2 linked regions of the Astyanax mexicanus genome follow. The protein of the gene in region 1 purifies or fractionates together with the protein of each later gene. This does not show direct contact. Links are inferred from orthologs where the notes say so. Each region holds a gene or a part of one and is shown on either strand. Other genes may lie near its edges.

Region 1 (7,999 bases):
TTAAGAAGGGAAAACATTCTACTAGTGTTTTGTGGGTCAAGCAAGCAGGAAGGCTAAAAAGGCTAAAGTCTGCTGCTAATTCTCAAGTTCTTGAGGTAAAGAAAAGCTTGAGGCACTTCTGAATTGCCGTGGTTGCTGCGCCGTGATGGTTGAAAAAAATAAGACAGGGCTTGGGATTGGTCAATGGACTATAAATAATTCACACATGCAGATATGATTGGAATAAAATATTGATTTTGGCTGTCAGTAAACATTAAAACCCTCTGATTGCTAATAGAACCTGTTAGCTTAGCTAAATACCCAAATTGACTAAAGTAAGGAGTTAATATAGTCCAGTTAGTTCTCCTCATCCACTAAGACTGACATTAAATGTATGTAAATTGTAGCATTATGCTGTTATTTCATATACACTGTCCTATAACTTGTAGAGGTAAGCAAATATGTATCTTACAGGTCCAATTAGCAAGGACAAAAGAACCATATACAGCTCTGAAAAAAAAAGAAAAAGAGACCACTACAGTTTCTGAATCAGTTCCTCAGTTCTGGGACATCCAGTTCTGAAGTTTTACAAGTTCAGAAATCAATTTTTGGTGGAAAAATTCTGTTTTTTAATCACAGTTTTCATGCATCTTGGCATGTTCTCCTCCACCAGTCTTACACACTGCTTTTGGATAACTTTATGCCACTCCTGGTGCAAAAAAAATCCAGCAGTTCAGTTTGGTTTGTTGGCTTGTGAACATCCATCTTCCTCTTGATTTTTTTCCAGAGGTTCACAATTTGGTAAAATCAAAGAAACCCATAATTTTTAAGTGGTCGCTTATTTTTTCCAGAGCTGTACATACTATGCTAACTACACTATATACTATAATACATTAATTAAGAGTTTGTTGCAGTAATTATCTCCACTGCCCAGGGAGGGTTTCTATTAGATTTTGTAACATTGTTGTGAGGATTTCATTGCATTAAGCGACAAGAACCGTAATCCATCCATCCATCCATCCATCCATTGTCAGTACAATCTTTATCCATCAGAGTCGGACATGGGGGCATCGCAGGAGAACGTTAATCATCATCACAAATTATGCATACTGGATTTGTGCTTATCTTAGGTTAAATGAATTCATTTTTTCCCAGTCCTGTCCATTTCTTTTACAAAGCAATAAGAAAATTAGCTTACTGAGTTTAACATGTTGGCATATTCATTTTCAGTTATAACTGAATCATAAAACTCCTTGTTACCTCATGAAGAACATTTTTTTGGTTCTACAACAAAACACAGCCTACCTCCATGTCTGTCACCTATGACGCATTCCCATACCTGTGAGTCGGCCTGTGTCTGAGGCCCAGCTTCTTCTGTCTCTCTCCTTGTTAATAATCCCTCAGAATAGATCAGGTGTGATCTCAGCCTGTAGGAAGTGTTGCAGTTTTGACAGCATATGAATTTCCTCAGCTAAGGCTTTGTATAACGAGGCAATTTACACTTTCTGGAGGAGTGTAAGAGAGGAATAAAAAAAAAATGACTAATGCTAACCATGATGTACAAATATACATCCACTGGCCACTTTATAGGAAAACGATAATGTATGTGGAGCATTTCAAGCTATGGAGCAAGTATGAAGGTTAGGATACAACGACAGTCTTCTGAGTTAAAAAACAAAACAATTTTGTACATCTCCCGGTACAAGACATTAATTTGGTTAAAAAAATTAGTTTTTCTAGCCTAGCATAGCATATCTTCGAATGTGATAGGAACAATATTAGGAGCCTATTTATTTTTAAATTGTTTTTATAGTCTTTCTCAGTACTTAGACAAGTACTTAGACTTGAGGGCTTGAGATTGGTCTCTTCAATTTCTCCAGTTCTGGGACATCCAGTTCTGAATTCTCTGATTTTGCTATTTATAGGTATATATTTGAGTAAAATGAACATTATTGTTTTATTTTTTAAACTACAGACAACATTTTTTCCAAATTCCAATGTATATATATATATATATATATATATATATATATATTAAAAATATTGGCTGAAATAACAAAAAAGATGCAGAGCATGTGACAGGAACAATATCAGGAGGGTATTTATTTTTTAACCGTTGCACAGTCTTACTCAGTAGAGTTGCTGTCTGTTTTAGTCTGAATCTTTTGTGATTAGCTAGATGAAGAGACTGTACCCTGGGCAATAACAGCAAATGAAAAAATTAAAATATGCTAATAAAAATAAGATAGAAAATGTGCTGTTTTGAAACAAATAGAGATGAGTGGATCTACACAGCATAGCCAGAAAAGGTCTTCACTTTTGAGAGATGTTGTGACGTTGTGTATGTTTTTTTTACAATCACCATTTTTTGTAAGTATTAGCTTTTAGCATTTTTTAATTTGTTTCTATATTTTTCTTAAGTAGCTTTTGTTTTTAAAGGCCTTCTCTAATAGATTATAGTCTCAGTGAATCCTACTCATGTCACGTCCTTGTCCTGTCTCATGTCAGCCTCCATGTTTTTACCCCTCCTTTGTTTGTTGCCTAGCTGTCAGTGTCTCTTCTTGTCTTCTTGCCTGTGTTCATTTGTAGCTCTGCCCCTCTTTACCTGTCCCCAGGTGTTTCCTGTTCCCTCCATGTGTATTTAAGCCCCTGTGTTTTAAGTGTTAGGATGGCTGGTCTTGTGCCTGTTCTAGGTCAGTCAGGTTGCTGTTTTTTGTTTTATGTTTTGTTAGTATATTCAGTGTTAATTTTAGTAGTCCTGTCTGTTCTTGTATCTTGTTTTGGTTTATTTATTTGGTTTTCTTGTAAATAAATTACCATGCATTTACTTCCGCCTCCCGTCCTCCCTGCTGCATTTGCTGACCATTCATTTCAATTGAGAGAGATGCTGCATGCCGTGGTGCATGCTGAGTTGAAAAATGCTAGTGGATACGTACCATAAGTATCGTAATATAACATGTTCTACAGATCTGTTTTACTTATGTGGGTTTTGCTGTTGAATGAAGAGACAACAGTGTTTGAGCTTGATGGTTTGTACTTTAATTCGAACTCTAATTATTCAATTATGGTAAGAAAATACAGTTTACATTTCAAAAGTAGATGTCTGTTATTTTATTACATTTTTACATTTTGTTTTGCAAATATTAAAGCACTAATCTTTTTTCAATAATAAGTTTAGTTGTCATGAAAAGCTTAAGTTAAATAAATGAAAATTGTTAAATGGGCACTTTACTTCCTATGGTATCTTGGTACATTAAATACTGCCAAGTAAGATCCCATCAGTTAGGGGTTTATAAATAGAACTGAAGAATCCTCAGATTAACCAAAAGACTATTAGTAATTAGTAAAGACTAATATCAAAAGAGGAATTAAACAATTAAGCTTTTATATTAATTATTGCATTTGCATTTTGCATATTGCTTTGTTAAATCATATGACTTCTATAAGCAAATGTAATAATAAGATTACATTATGCATTTAATATAATAATAATACTAATAATAATAATAATAATAAAATGATAGTGTAGCTAGTAACACATTAGGATCAACTGAACATAAGGAGACTGTGGGTGCAGGGTGGTTGGAAAGTGTTTGTGAGTGAGCGTGTGTGTATGTGTGGGGTGTGTGTTTAGTGAATGAATGTGCCCTCAGATTACAGATTGCTGTAAAAGATTAGCTGTTCCTGCCTGGCTGTTTAATTCTCACTCTAATCCCACAGCTCAGCATTTCCTCCCCAAACAGTCAGATTGTCACTCTGTTGACCACCGGGTTCAAACTTGTATGTGTCTCATGTATGTGTGTACGTGCAGACAGAAGGGCAGCAGGTGTTTACTAAATAGTGGGACTTTATCAGTGAGGGTGTGGGTGAGCAGTTCTACTGTCTGGTTCTGTGTTTATCAGTGTGTTTGCAGATCAGATTAGACTGATTCAAAAAAGGGGACATATTATACCTCTTTTTACACTAGTTAAAATAGGTCTATGGGCTATAGATCGCATGTTCATGAAGTTGAACAAAATCACTCTCACATAAGGAGATAATACCAGCTCTATTTTTGACAGTTTCAGTGCCTTTCCGAATGAGCTGTTTAAGGGATCTGTCACTAGTTCATGCTTAATTGCGATAGAAGCACAAAAAACTCTTTTTTAAAAGTACTTACATCTTTCTCATCTGTTGACTTGCCATGGACCCACCCTGACTTGCCAAAGATCCCTCCTTCAGACGAAGTCTACTGACTAATCCTGCTGTGTACTGTCTTAGGTTCTCAATCATCAGACTAAAATGGTGTTTCTTCAACTAATCTAGTGGGTGGGTCTCTGGTGGGTCTAATCAGGTCTCCTTATTGTGACGTCACAATAAGGGAGCCAAGCAAATGGCTCATAGAAGCATATGATTCCTGACACAAACTCTTTCAACTGACTTAGAAAACGAAAAAAATGATTTTCTTTTTTGGAAATACAAAAGCATGCAAAAAGTGAGTTTTGTGTAATATACCATTAGTTTAGTCTGTGTGTTCTTCATCACAGCATCCTTACCATGACCAGCCAACCTGTTGCTACACCTGCATGGAAAATATACTGGAGGTGTATTGCTCACACATACACACACTCACCCACAAACATATACACACAGTGGCATTGTCACAGAGTATCATCAAACAGAGTGATTCAAAAGCAATCCTCTGCTCTGCTCCTCTGATGTGTGTGTGTATATAATATATATATATATATATATATATATATATATATATATATATGTGTGTGTGTGTGTGTGTGTGTGTGTGTGTGCGCGCGTGTACGTGTGTGTACGTGTGCATGTGCATGTGACCTTATTAACAGAATAATCCAGAAGGAAATTGCACAGAGAGAAAGAAACAGAAGTTAGGCAAAAAGGGAAATAAAAGGACAAAGAGAGAGGCAAAAAAGATATACAGCTCTGGAAAAAAAAGCGACCACTAAAAAATTATGAGTTTCTTTGATTTTACCGAATTGAAAACCTCTGGAATATAATTAAGAGGAAGATGGATGATCACAAGCCATCAAACCAAGCTGAACTGCTTGGAATGGCATAAAGTGGGATAAAGTTATCCAAAAGCAGTGTGTAAGACTGATGGATGGATGGATGGAAAATAATGGCCTACGCAAACAATAAAAGAGGAGTGAGGGTAGGATTGCAAAAAAGGGTGATAGATAGAGACTGAGAGAGGAAGAAGACAGACAGACAGACAGATAGATAGATAGATAGATAGATAGATAGATAGATAGATAGATAGATAGATAGATAGATAGATAGATAGATGGCAGAGAAGATGACAGAGAAGATGGAGAGAAAGACAGAGGTGTGAAGGCAAAAGGAGAGAGAGAGAGAAGGGGAGAGAGAGAAGGGGAGAGAGAAATGGCAGGGCTAAAAAAGTGAGAGACAGAGACAGGGTGATTAAAAGGGAGAGAGTTGGTGTGTGTGTTGATGTGTGTATCCCCGGTCTGTCGAGCGCCTGGGGGAAACCGGAGGGGCGTGCGCGTCACTATTCCATATATGGCAGTACCGGTGTGAGACTGAGTGCCCATATATGGAGTTCCCGCCTGTGACCGGTGGAAAATGGGCGGGGCTTTGGAAGCAGGCGCTTCAAAAGAGCTTCAGCACCACAACAACAGAGAAAACACAGGAGCAGAGACTAAACACCCCACACACACTCAGTTCTACAGCTCTCACACACTTCTACAGCACGCAGGGGGGCTTCAGACACTCATATGGACATTTACAGAATTTACTGAAGCTTGTTTTTAACTTTTTTTAAACCTTTTTTTTGCTTTCTGCGAAGAATAATAAAAACAGCAGATAAAGATGTCGAGCAGCTGCTGACAGACAGTGTGGAGGTCGCCGGGTCACACACACATAAACACACTCTTTTTCACACACACTGTACACTGGGACAACAGGGCTAATGCCTGTGGAAATCACTAGCTGCGAGCTCGCGCAGATGGTGCGCACCCACTGCGCGCTCCCGCTGCTGCTGGACTGCAGGCCGTTCCTGGCCTTCTGCGGCGCGCGCCTGGCCTTCTCTCACAGCGTCAACTGGAACTCAGTGCTGATGCGCAGGGAGCGCGCGCGGATGGGCCTGGCGAGCGCGCGCCCCCTGGAGCGGCTGGTGGCAGACCGCGCGCTGCTGAGACAGCTGCGCGCCGGTGAGTGCGCGCGCGTGGTGGTGCTGGACGAGGCGAGCCGCTCGGTGCGCGAGCTGCGCAGAGAGAGCGTGGCCGGGCTGCTGCTGCGCGCGCTGCAGGAGGAGCTGCGGGAGGAGGGCACGGAGGTCTGCTTCCTGCAAGGTAAACAACACACCACCACCTAACCAACACATTCACACTAACAGAGACATGAAATAGGTCAAATCATTAAACCCTGCACATTGAGTTAAAGGGGAAGTTCATACAATTTACAAGTTATAGAAAATTCACTCATTATTATGATACCAAAGCGACCGTACTGCAGAAAATGTTCTGCTGTTAAAGTGTTCATTTTAGAGAAAGTTACATGTTTGTTTGGAATGATGGAGAACAGAATCAGATGTCTCCATTTTAGTGCTAATATAACCATTAATTTATTACTTACAATAACTATTTATTAAACTGTAGTTTTGTAATAGCGTTTTATGTGTATACACTAAATACACCTGGGCTATTTAAATCATTTACTGATGAGAAATGACAAAAATGACAAAAATAAAACTTTGTACAGTATTTGTCCTTTAATTTAGTTTGAGCCAAATATTTAAACTTCTGTGCATCCCTGTGAACTATAAAAATACAAAGCAATTTAATTAAAAATGTTAATAAATTCAAATTTGTAAATGTTAAAACATTATCAAGCCATTTTCCACTTTTTGACACCCTTTGGATCTGGGATTTTTTCTTTATATTGTGTCAGAATTTTATAAACAATGATAAATTTGATGAATTCTCCTAAATGACTTTTCTATTATTAAGAAAAAAAATAAGAAAAAATGTTTTGTGGGAGTAACTATATAAATTTCTATTATATGTATTTTTAGAAATATTTATTTTATTCAAGATTTTCTATAGTTCTACCAGATCTCATTTGGACTTCCACAGTTCCCCTGAACTGCCACTTCATAATAACAAGCTGCACTGTAGATGTTTTGAGATACAAGGTTTCCATGTGAAACTGACAATGTTATGGTTATGCAAATATATGGTTATTGAATATGATTTTTTTTTTATCACTCTGTAGTACTCCTTTTTTTGAATAGAAAAAAATATCTGCCAGATAATACACTGATCCTTAATGTAACATTTAAAATACTTTGTTTGCTAAATGTACATTTAAATGTAGTTTACATATTACTTTTGTACACCATACATGTAAAATATGATTTGGTCTCACTGTGAGTTCATTTACTGATGAATACTCTGTGTGTACATGTGTTTCAGGTGGATTTGAAGAATTTGTATCGTTGTATCCTGAGCTGTGTTTAAACACTCCACTTAAGTGTGGGAGCCCCTCGACACTGAGTGACCCAGAAACCCTCAACTCCACCAAGAGCATGCCTCTGTATGACCAGGTAATTATCAATATAACACAAATATAAGGAATACAGAAACTAACACAACTGGGATCCGAAGTCCCAGAATGTAAGAAACTGATTTCAGATTCTTTTAGTGTAAGTGAACTCAATGTGAGTGTGTGTTTTGCTTTGGCAGGGAGACCCTGTGGAGATCCTGCCCTTTCTCTTCCTGGGCAGCGCTCACCACTCGTCCCAGAGAGACACACTGGAGCGCTGCGGCATCACGGCTGTCCTCAACGTCTCCTCATCCTGTCCCAATCTGTTCGAGCAGGAGCTGCAGTACATGACACTGAAGGTGGAGGACAGCCTGGCCGCAGATATACGGGTGTTCTTCCCTGAGGCTATTCGCTTTATCGGTGAGCATCCCAGTTTATTTACTTTTTTGAACAAAGTCAGAATGTGTTACCGTTTTTACTGTACTGTACAGAATGGGTTACAGTA
Region 2 (7,870 bases), on another chromosome or scaffold:
GTTTGGATGCAGGCTGATATCAGTCACACCACTCAGTAACTCAGGAGCTGGTGCTACATGCTTTCAGCCTGGGTTAGGTCAAGTTGACCAAGTATACCTGACCCATTTCATTATTCGAAGTTATGCCACCCTGCCATGTCCCAGTTTCAATCAGAGCCTGTTCAAGCCATTCAACAGCACTATAAAGGAGTGTATTAAAATACAAGTACAACAGTTTAATATTAAATGTTGCAAATTTGTTCATATTTGTTAAAAAGTGGAAACAACAGAATACACAGCTAGTCTTATAGGCATTATTTCAATTTACGTGCACATGTACTATATGTATACATTACATTACTGACTTATCGTGCAATAAATGGACATTACCCACTGTGTCTATTGTCTATTGTGTTTGTATTTGTATGTTTGTTTGTTTGTCATGTAGTTACCAACACTTTAATAACTGGATGAATGAAAAAGTACATATTTCACCATAATTATGATTAATTAAAATTTGTGTTTTTTATAAAAAGGATATAATTCCTTTGTTATTCTGTTATATGCTATTATCATTGTGTCAGTGGCATTTATTATGCAATAATTTAATTTCGCAATAATTTATGTGATGATATATTGTCCACAAAATTACTTGGCAGGCCTATATTGTATAGGCTAAGGACATGTAATGAGTTATATGATCTAAAATTGTAAAACCTAGAGGTACAGAAGAGTGAATCGGTAAGGTAAATTGCTAATTTGTTTAGTATATAAGACAATGTTTCTTGAAAATAAGTGTTTTTGTTATTGCACAGTCCCTTCATTTTATTACATATAAAGATGAATATTTGGCTGTTAAGCCTATTTTGGCTATTTTCTTAGTGCTTTTTAATTTGTTGAATCATGGAAACAATATGCAGTTAGACAAAACTGCAATCATGCTAAAGAAGTGGTTGCTTCTCAAATGTTTTAACTGACAATTAAACATCAAAATCCTTAAAAAAAAATCAACTGAAATATGACAAATCATATGCTATATATATATATATATATATATATATATATATATATATATATATATATATATCATATATAAAAAAATAAAATAAAATAAATATAAAAAAAATTCACTCCCTATCCTACATCCAGGGTTTGTAATGCAACCACTCAGAACAATATATATATATATATAGGATAGGGAGTGAATTATCAAGAGAAACTGTTTTAGTTTTTGTCCTTATTTTATCTTTTTTTTATTTTCTTTCACACTCTACCAACTTGTAAGGACAATGCTGCTGGTACTAATAATAATCCAGTTGCACTAGTAGCTAGTGCTAGTTAGCAGTGCTTAAACAAATCTTTAAGGAGAAATCTTGTGTGAAATAAATTTGATTTGTAGTGATCCTTGATAATAAATAGAAACTTTTGTTAAATATTCCACCTCCATTCACCACCATCATTCTGAAATAAAGCACTTTTAGCCGATGCTCCCAACAGGCTTACAATGCTAGTGATAGGGGCACAGAGTTGCCTATGCAAGAATGCAAAATCAACATGCATGTGGAAATGCATGAATATCTCTATAATATTGAAAAAATAGCACAGAATTAATTTTGCAATCTGTCACCCTATCCTACCGATTCATGCTCATCAGTCGACTTATCACTTCTTGATTTCAAGATGCCAGCACCCAGAGAAGTACCTGAAGGTACTATGTGTATAATAAAAAGTCTTTTTAATAAACTAAATGTGCATTTTTAAAGCCTCATTTTTTGACTATTTTTAACTGTTAGGACGCTTGAAATTCTCCCAATGAAATGTAGAGCTACTTTGAGCTTTGTAATGTTGGTAATTATGATTTTAATTTGTTTGCATGGCCTACTATATGCCCCCTCACTGTACAGCAGTGTAAGCCAGTAAGCCTGTTAGTTGGGAGCATCAGCTAAAAGTGAGAAAGAGGGCTATTCAACAAAAGTTTGTACTTTTCATGTTTTCAAGTTTCACTACAAACCAAGTCCATTTCACACAAGATTTCTCCTTTAAACACTGCACTGATTAAATAAATGTAGGGCAGGTTTTTGGTCATTATAACATTTAGCAGTTTAATTTTCTGACCGTTTGAGGCTAAATTCAAAATTAGAAAATTGAATGTAAAAACATATTTTTTTATGTAGTTCAGTGCTCAAGAAATAAGTTTTATCCATTTTTCAAGTTTTAGTTTTTTCATCACTTTCCCTTACAATCGGAATTACAGGAAATTTTTCTGATTTTTAGATTTTTGCATTTTGCAAGTGGATTATAACATCGGATATGTGATACAAGACACAAAAATAGACAAATCTGAAAATCAAAAGTAGAAAACTTTTCATTTTTCTTGAAATTCTGTTCGCGAAAGGCAGATATGAAAAACTTAATAACTGAATGAATTACCATTTCATCTTCACTATAGTAAATGGAAAAAGTATAAAGTTTTATACCCTATTTTTTGAATTTGCGATTTAAGCTTGATACAGTCAGAAAAATAAACTGCTAAATGTTACACTGATGGATTTTGCTTATTAAACTATATTTAATCAATTTAAAATGAAAGAAAAAGTAGCTATGTAACTGTGTATGTAAGTTATTTGTTTGTGTGTTCGAGGGCTAAATATAATATAAAAATGAGTATTAAGGTGAAAAAAACTTACCAGACCATGCCATAAGCGCCCTCCCCAATATAGGAGAGGTTGGTGTATCGTGGCCCCACGTCGAAGGCCTGCCCGCGGACAAGCTCGGCCCCAGAGCCGGGGTTAGTGCCGCCTCCGCCGGCAGGACCAGACACCGCAGCCGCCGTCGCCATTGTTGAACCGAGCTGCCTTCACTCACACCCGCACTCACACATACACTCCCCGCAGCACAGCCACGACTCTCCAAACAGCAGAAACGACGAGTTTCGGTGTCTCACAACACCCAGCACGAGCCGTCCGCACTAGAAAAAGCTCTTCTGGTGCGATAAAAGTGAGTAAAAACAACAAAAAGTTGCAGCGAAAATCACTCCACTTCAGTGACGCTCCGCTACGCCCGCTGTGCGATTCGAGACTGCAGGCAGGCGGCGGCGGAGCCAGCGCGAGCAAACAGCGAGCGAGGCCCGGATCGTGCGCGAATCGGTTCATTCGAATCGTTTCTTGTGAACACATTGTGCGAACCGATACGCAACAAGGTGTGAAAATTCACATTCGTTACTCAGATAAAATTATAGATACTAGTGTTTAAAAAACTTCTGTAGAATTTTAAGTTGAAATCAGCTCAAGCTTTTTACTCAAAAGTAAATGTACTGGTTTCAAAACTACTTAATGTATAAAAGTAAAAGTAATAAAAAAAGTAAAGGGAAAAATAAGGCTATTAAGGATAAAATCTTAGGCCAAACCACAGGATCCTATAGTGCACCACCCCCTCCCAAAACACATTTTTTCTTAAAGCCATAATGACTATAATGTTATATTAATGTTATATTAATGTTGATACATTTGGGATAGAAAAATCTACGCAACAATCCAAGTTATAGTCTATTTTTTCCCAGTTAGTGTGTGAAATAGTGTGTAAAATTTCCATTGATTGTAAAAGTCCATTGATTCATTAAAGCAGCTGTCCCTTGTGAAATTTGGGACAAAATATTCAAATTAGTTGGTATCATTCTAAAAACAGAATCAAGTGGTCTGGTTGGTTTGTTTTTAGGCTGTAATTGCTTGCAGTCTGACAGTATTTTATAAATGAACAAAAATATTTAATTTAAAAAAAGGGTTACACAACATTTACAGTAACCTGAATTTAAAGGACTTTTCCACACATTCTCTCATCAGAGAGGTCTCTAAATCCCCAAATCTTACAGATGGTCCCTTTAAATGTATTATTATTATTATTATTATTATTATTATTATTATTATTATTATTATTATTATTATTGTTGTTGTTGTTGTTTCATTATCTGTTTTATTATATCTTAAAAGCAATGATTAATACATAATTTAATAATATAAATTATTGCTTTGTAATAGACACGCTTTAGATACATTTATCAGACTAGATAGATAGATAGATAGATAGATAGATAGATAGATAGATAGATAGATAGATAGATAGATAGATATATAGATAGACTAACCTTTAAACAATCGATTCTGAATCGATTCTGTCTCTGTGAGAGTCAAATCTCTAGTTCACTAGTAAGTGAAAGCAGTGAACAGAGAAAGTGAGCTAATGCTGTGTGAAAATCTCTTCTATCTCTACACGAAATTAAAAGCTCATATGATTTGTGACTGAATGACTTGTTGATTGGCACTTTCGATTCGATAAAATGAACCCTTTAATAGAACCGATTCGATTAACTGAATCGAACACTACGAGCTGCTTCCCGCATGAAATAACGGCGGAGACCACGTGACCACACAGGAGCGTCAGCCTACAAATGATCAGAAAACTTGTCAGAAAATTTTCATTTTCCAAATAAAAAACTAGAATTGAATATTCAGAATATAAGCTATAGCTATACAGGAACACATGCAGAATTATTCTATAAACAAAAAAAGGAAATCATGTTTCCCGAATTGTACATGAGAAAGTAGATAATTGCCACCTATGGGTTTACATTTCATACAAACTCTTAATTCCTAATTTCCTTTTTATGAAATTCCTACAGGAATAAATAAAGTATCGATCTATACTCTGTGTAACAATATATTTTTCAACATTTAGTCTGAATGTACATATTCTTACAATAAAGAGCAATGTTAACCTGCACTTTAAAAAAACTTTCTTGTAAATGTTATACAGTTATTTTTGTTTGTTTTTTTAAGTTAAACCTGAAAAAAAAATCATTTTTTATTTTTTAAATTTACTCATTTTAGAAAATTATGTGCTACTTTAACTTTAAAACGCAGGGTAGAAGTGCAAATGCGTGCAAGATGCAAAATTTTGTTATTTTTTACTACAATTTTAAAATTGTCTTGCAAACATATCTTAACAATAAAGTTACACAAATGTTGCACTATATTTTTAATCATATCCACCAAAACATGTTTGGTGGATATGTGTTTCACTTCATGCCTTTAGTAAAAAAAAAACATGTTTCTCCAGATTTACACGTTTATCTAAGGCATCGTGGCGGGACTCACTACACACTGAGGGTGAGTCGAATAAGAAAAGAATATGGATAACAGTGCACATTCCTGGTACATGTTTGACAGTGTGGATTGAGGAATGTTCAATGCTCTTATCTTTATACTATGGAAGTGAAATGCCCCATCCATCTGCACCTATTATCGGATCTGCCTTGAACTACAATAATTATCATTGCCTTGCCATGAGCATGTTAGCCCCTGTTTATTCAACCTCACTCACAAGATATCACCTCACAACTTATAAGGGTTTGGGCTTTTGTTTCCAAACCATGCCCTGAGATAACACTTCAATTTATACACTTGGATGTACATGTCACATATAATTAATACTGCTATCCCATGATTTTTGGCATGTATTTAACATTAATCTCCTCAATCTTTTACTACAATATTTGTATTAAGTCTGCATTCAAATTACACACACTTCAAGTCATGCAGCTTGCCATCAGCTGCCAGAGCCCTGAGAGAGCACAATTGGTCTTGCTCTCTTTGGGTGGGAACAGTAGATGGCACTCTTTCCCCTCATCACTACTAGGGTGATGTGGATCAGCACAAGGCGTCTGTGAGCTGATGTATCAGAACCACGTCACTGCGCTTTCCTCTAAACGCGCTGTGATGCTACTCGGTAATGCTGCATCATCAGCTGTTTAAAAAGAGGCGGAGTCTGACTTCACATGGATCGAAGGAGGCATCCCCCTCCTGGTGTTTTGGGGCATCACTAGTGATGGGGGAGTCCTTATGAGTGGGTAGGGTTATTGGCTATATATAAATTATATTAATAAAAAATACACATATTGTAAAAATACTTATGAATTTAACTGTACGGTCAAACCTGAAACAGAAAGCGAAGGTAGAAACATGAGGGTAAGTGGATTTGAATTAATCCCTTTAACCATCAGTCCGCCCAAAAGAGCTCTGATCCAGGTAGAGCAGCTGCTCTTACGTAACCAAGAGTCTGGATTAAACCTAGGAAAAAGATTTCATTTGTTACAATAAATAATCCTAATACCCAAAAACAGAACAAAGGAGTTAATGTGGTTATAGTTTATTATTATCACAATCACTGAACAGACTTCAACTCTCTCAACTCAACAGCAAAGCTGATAAAGCTGTTATGAACTTATATGAACAATATAATATAATACAATACTTTTCATTGACATTTAAGAAAATGAGTCCACATAAAATACTGCAATCAGTCCAGATCACTTTAGTTATTAACATTAAATTATGTGATACATTTGATGGCTATTCAATACTACAGTATTATGAGTTATGAGTGCATACAATACAAAAACACATCCAGTTGGACAGAGTCAATCCTGGCAGTGAAAAGTGAAAAGTTACCAACACTTATATAAGTACAGTACTACACACAAACACAGACACAGGGTTATAGAACATAGATAAAATTGTCAAGCTTAGTATGTATTAAATTATTATTACATATATATATATATATATATATATATATTAAATGCTGCATGTAATGTTTCAGGAAATACATCTGAACAAGCTGAACGGAAACTAAATAAGGCACCAATATAAAGGCCTCAGGTTGGGAGACATCATACATATTGTTGCTGTCCAATGAACAAAAAACAATCAGTCTTGTAAGGTACAGTCAAACTGTGCCTTACACTGTGCCAAAATGTCTTGATCACTGGACCAATAGAAATACTTAAAATGACCTGAAATAAACTCTTTTTACATTGACTTCCATTGAAAGTTTGGAAGGTTTTTTCTCTCTTCTGAAAATTTGCTGTTTTGGAGATACTGCTTGTTTTTTTTTATTGGACAGCGACGATATACTGTACCAGACAAAGGTTTGGACACACCTTCATATTTCAAAGTTTTTGTTTTAATTTTTTTTTACTATATTATAAATGAATACTGAAGTGATCCAAACTATGAAAGAACACATATAGAATCTTGTAGTAACTTAAAACTGTTAAACAAACCAAAATACTCTGTGTAGCATTTAGGTGCTCTTATCTGGGGAGCTGTTAACTTGCAGTATAACGTTTTTTTTTTGTTTCAGATTGACTGACCTTCTTTTCTAAAAGTATTTTTTTCTTTACTTAAGTAGTTGAGTAGTTCTTGCTTCTAATAATCTGGATTAGAATGTTACTCAAATAGAGTTATTCACTGTATACCTGTAACTCTACCTCTTCACTACTTTACAACTGATGCTCTCAAACACTTTATTAAGAGACAAGAAATTCAAGTAATTAACTCTTGATGAGTTCAGCACAGCTGTTAACTGAAAGCCTGAATTCCAGGTGACTCTACCTCATAAAATTGATTAAGAAAATCCAGTCAAGATGTGCAAAGCTGTCATCTAGGCAAGAGGTGCTACTTTGAAGAATCTAAAATATAAAACATATCCAGGTTTGGTAAACAATTTTTTGTGTGATTATTTTTTAAATAAATGATGAAAAAACACTAAATTTAAGTTGTGTCCAAACTCTTGACTGGTACTGTGTCTGTGTACAGTTTTCAATTCATTTTTGTGTGTTTCAATTAATATAAAAAAACATCCATATTTCAGCATAATTCACTTTTCATTTTGGCACAAATCTAACTTTAGGCCAGTTGTGAAAGTAAGGTATATTCTTACAAGCTCTTATACTCTAAAGGTCAGCCTCTCTGACCCTGATTAAGCTTAATCCTAGACTAATTGGGCTATTCCATGCTACAGCCGCAGTCCTTAAGATTTTCTTTTTAACCCTTTC

What was found. Proteins that work in one complex are often made in the same cells at the same time.
Region 2: the proteins of dusp2 (region 1) and mapk1 purify together in Homo sapiens (affinity purification with mass spectrometry; 4 studies listed by BioGRID and IntAct, with this or other methods). This does not show direct contact. The link is inferred for Astyanax mexicanus from reciprocal best matches to the Homo sapiens genes DUSP2 and MAPK1.

What each region holds. Positions count from the first base shown.
Region 1 is NC_064419.1:28,769,353-28,777,351, reverse strand, and holds the start of dusp2 (dual specificity protein phosphatase 2), read left to right. Parts: upstream 1-4,933; 5' UTR 4,934-5,920; coding exon 5,921-6,302; intron 6,303-7,424; coding exon 7,425-7,555; intron 7,556-7,694; coding exon 7,695-7,914; intron 7,915-7,999. UniProt on the Homo sapiens protein: Dephosphorylates both phosphorylated Thr and Tyr residues in MAPK1, and dephosphorylation of phosphotyrosine is slightly faster than that of phosphothreonine. Can dephosphorylate MAPK1.
Region 2 is NC_064429.1:30,991,146-30,999,015, reverse strand, and holds the start of mapk1 (mitogen-activated protein kinase 1), read right to left. Parts: upstream 3,069-7,870; 5' UTR 2,819-3,068; coding exon 2,667-2,818; intron 1-2,666. UniProt on the Homo sapiens protein: Serine/threonine kinase which acts as an essential component of the MAP kinase signal transduction pathway. MAPK1/ERK2 and MAPK3/ERK1 are the 2 MAPKs which play an important role in the MAPK/ERK cascade.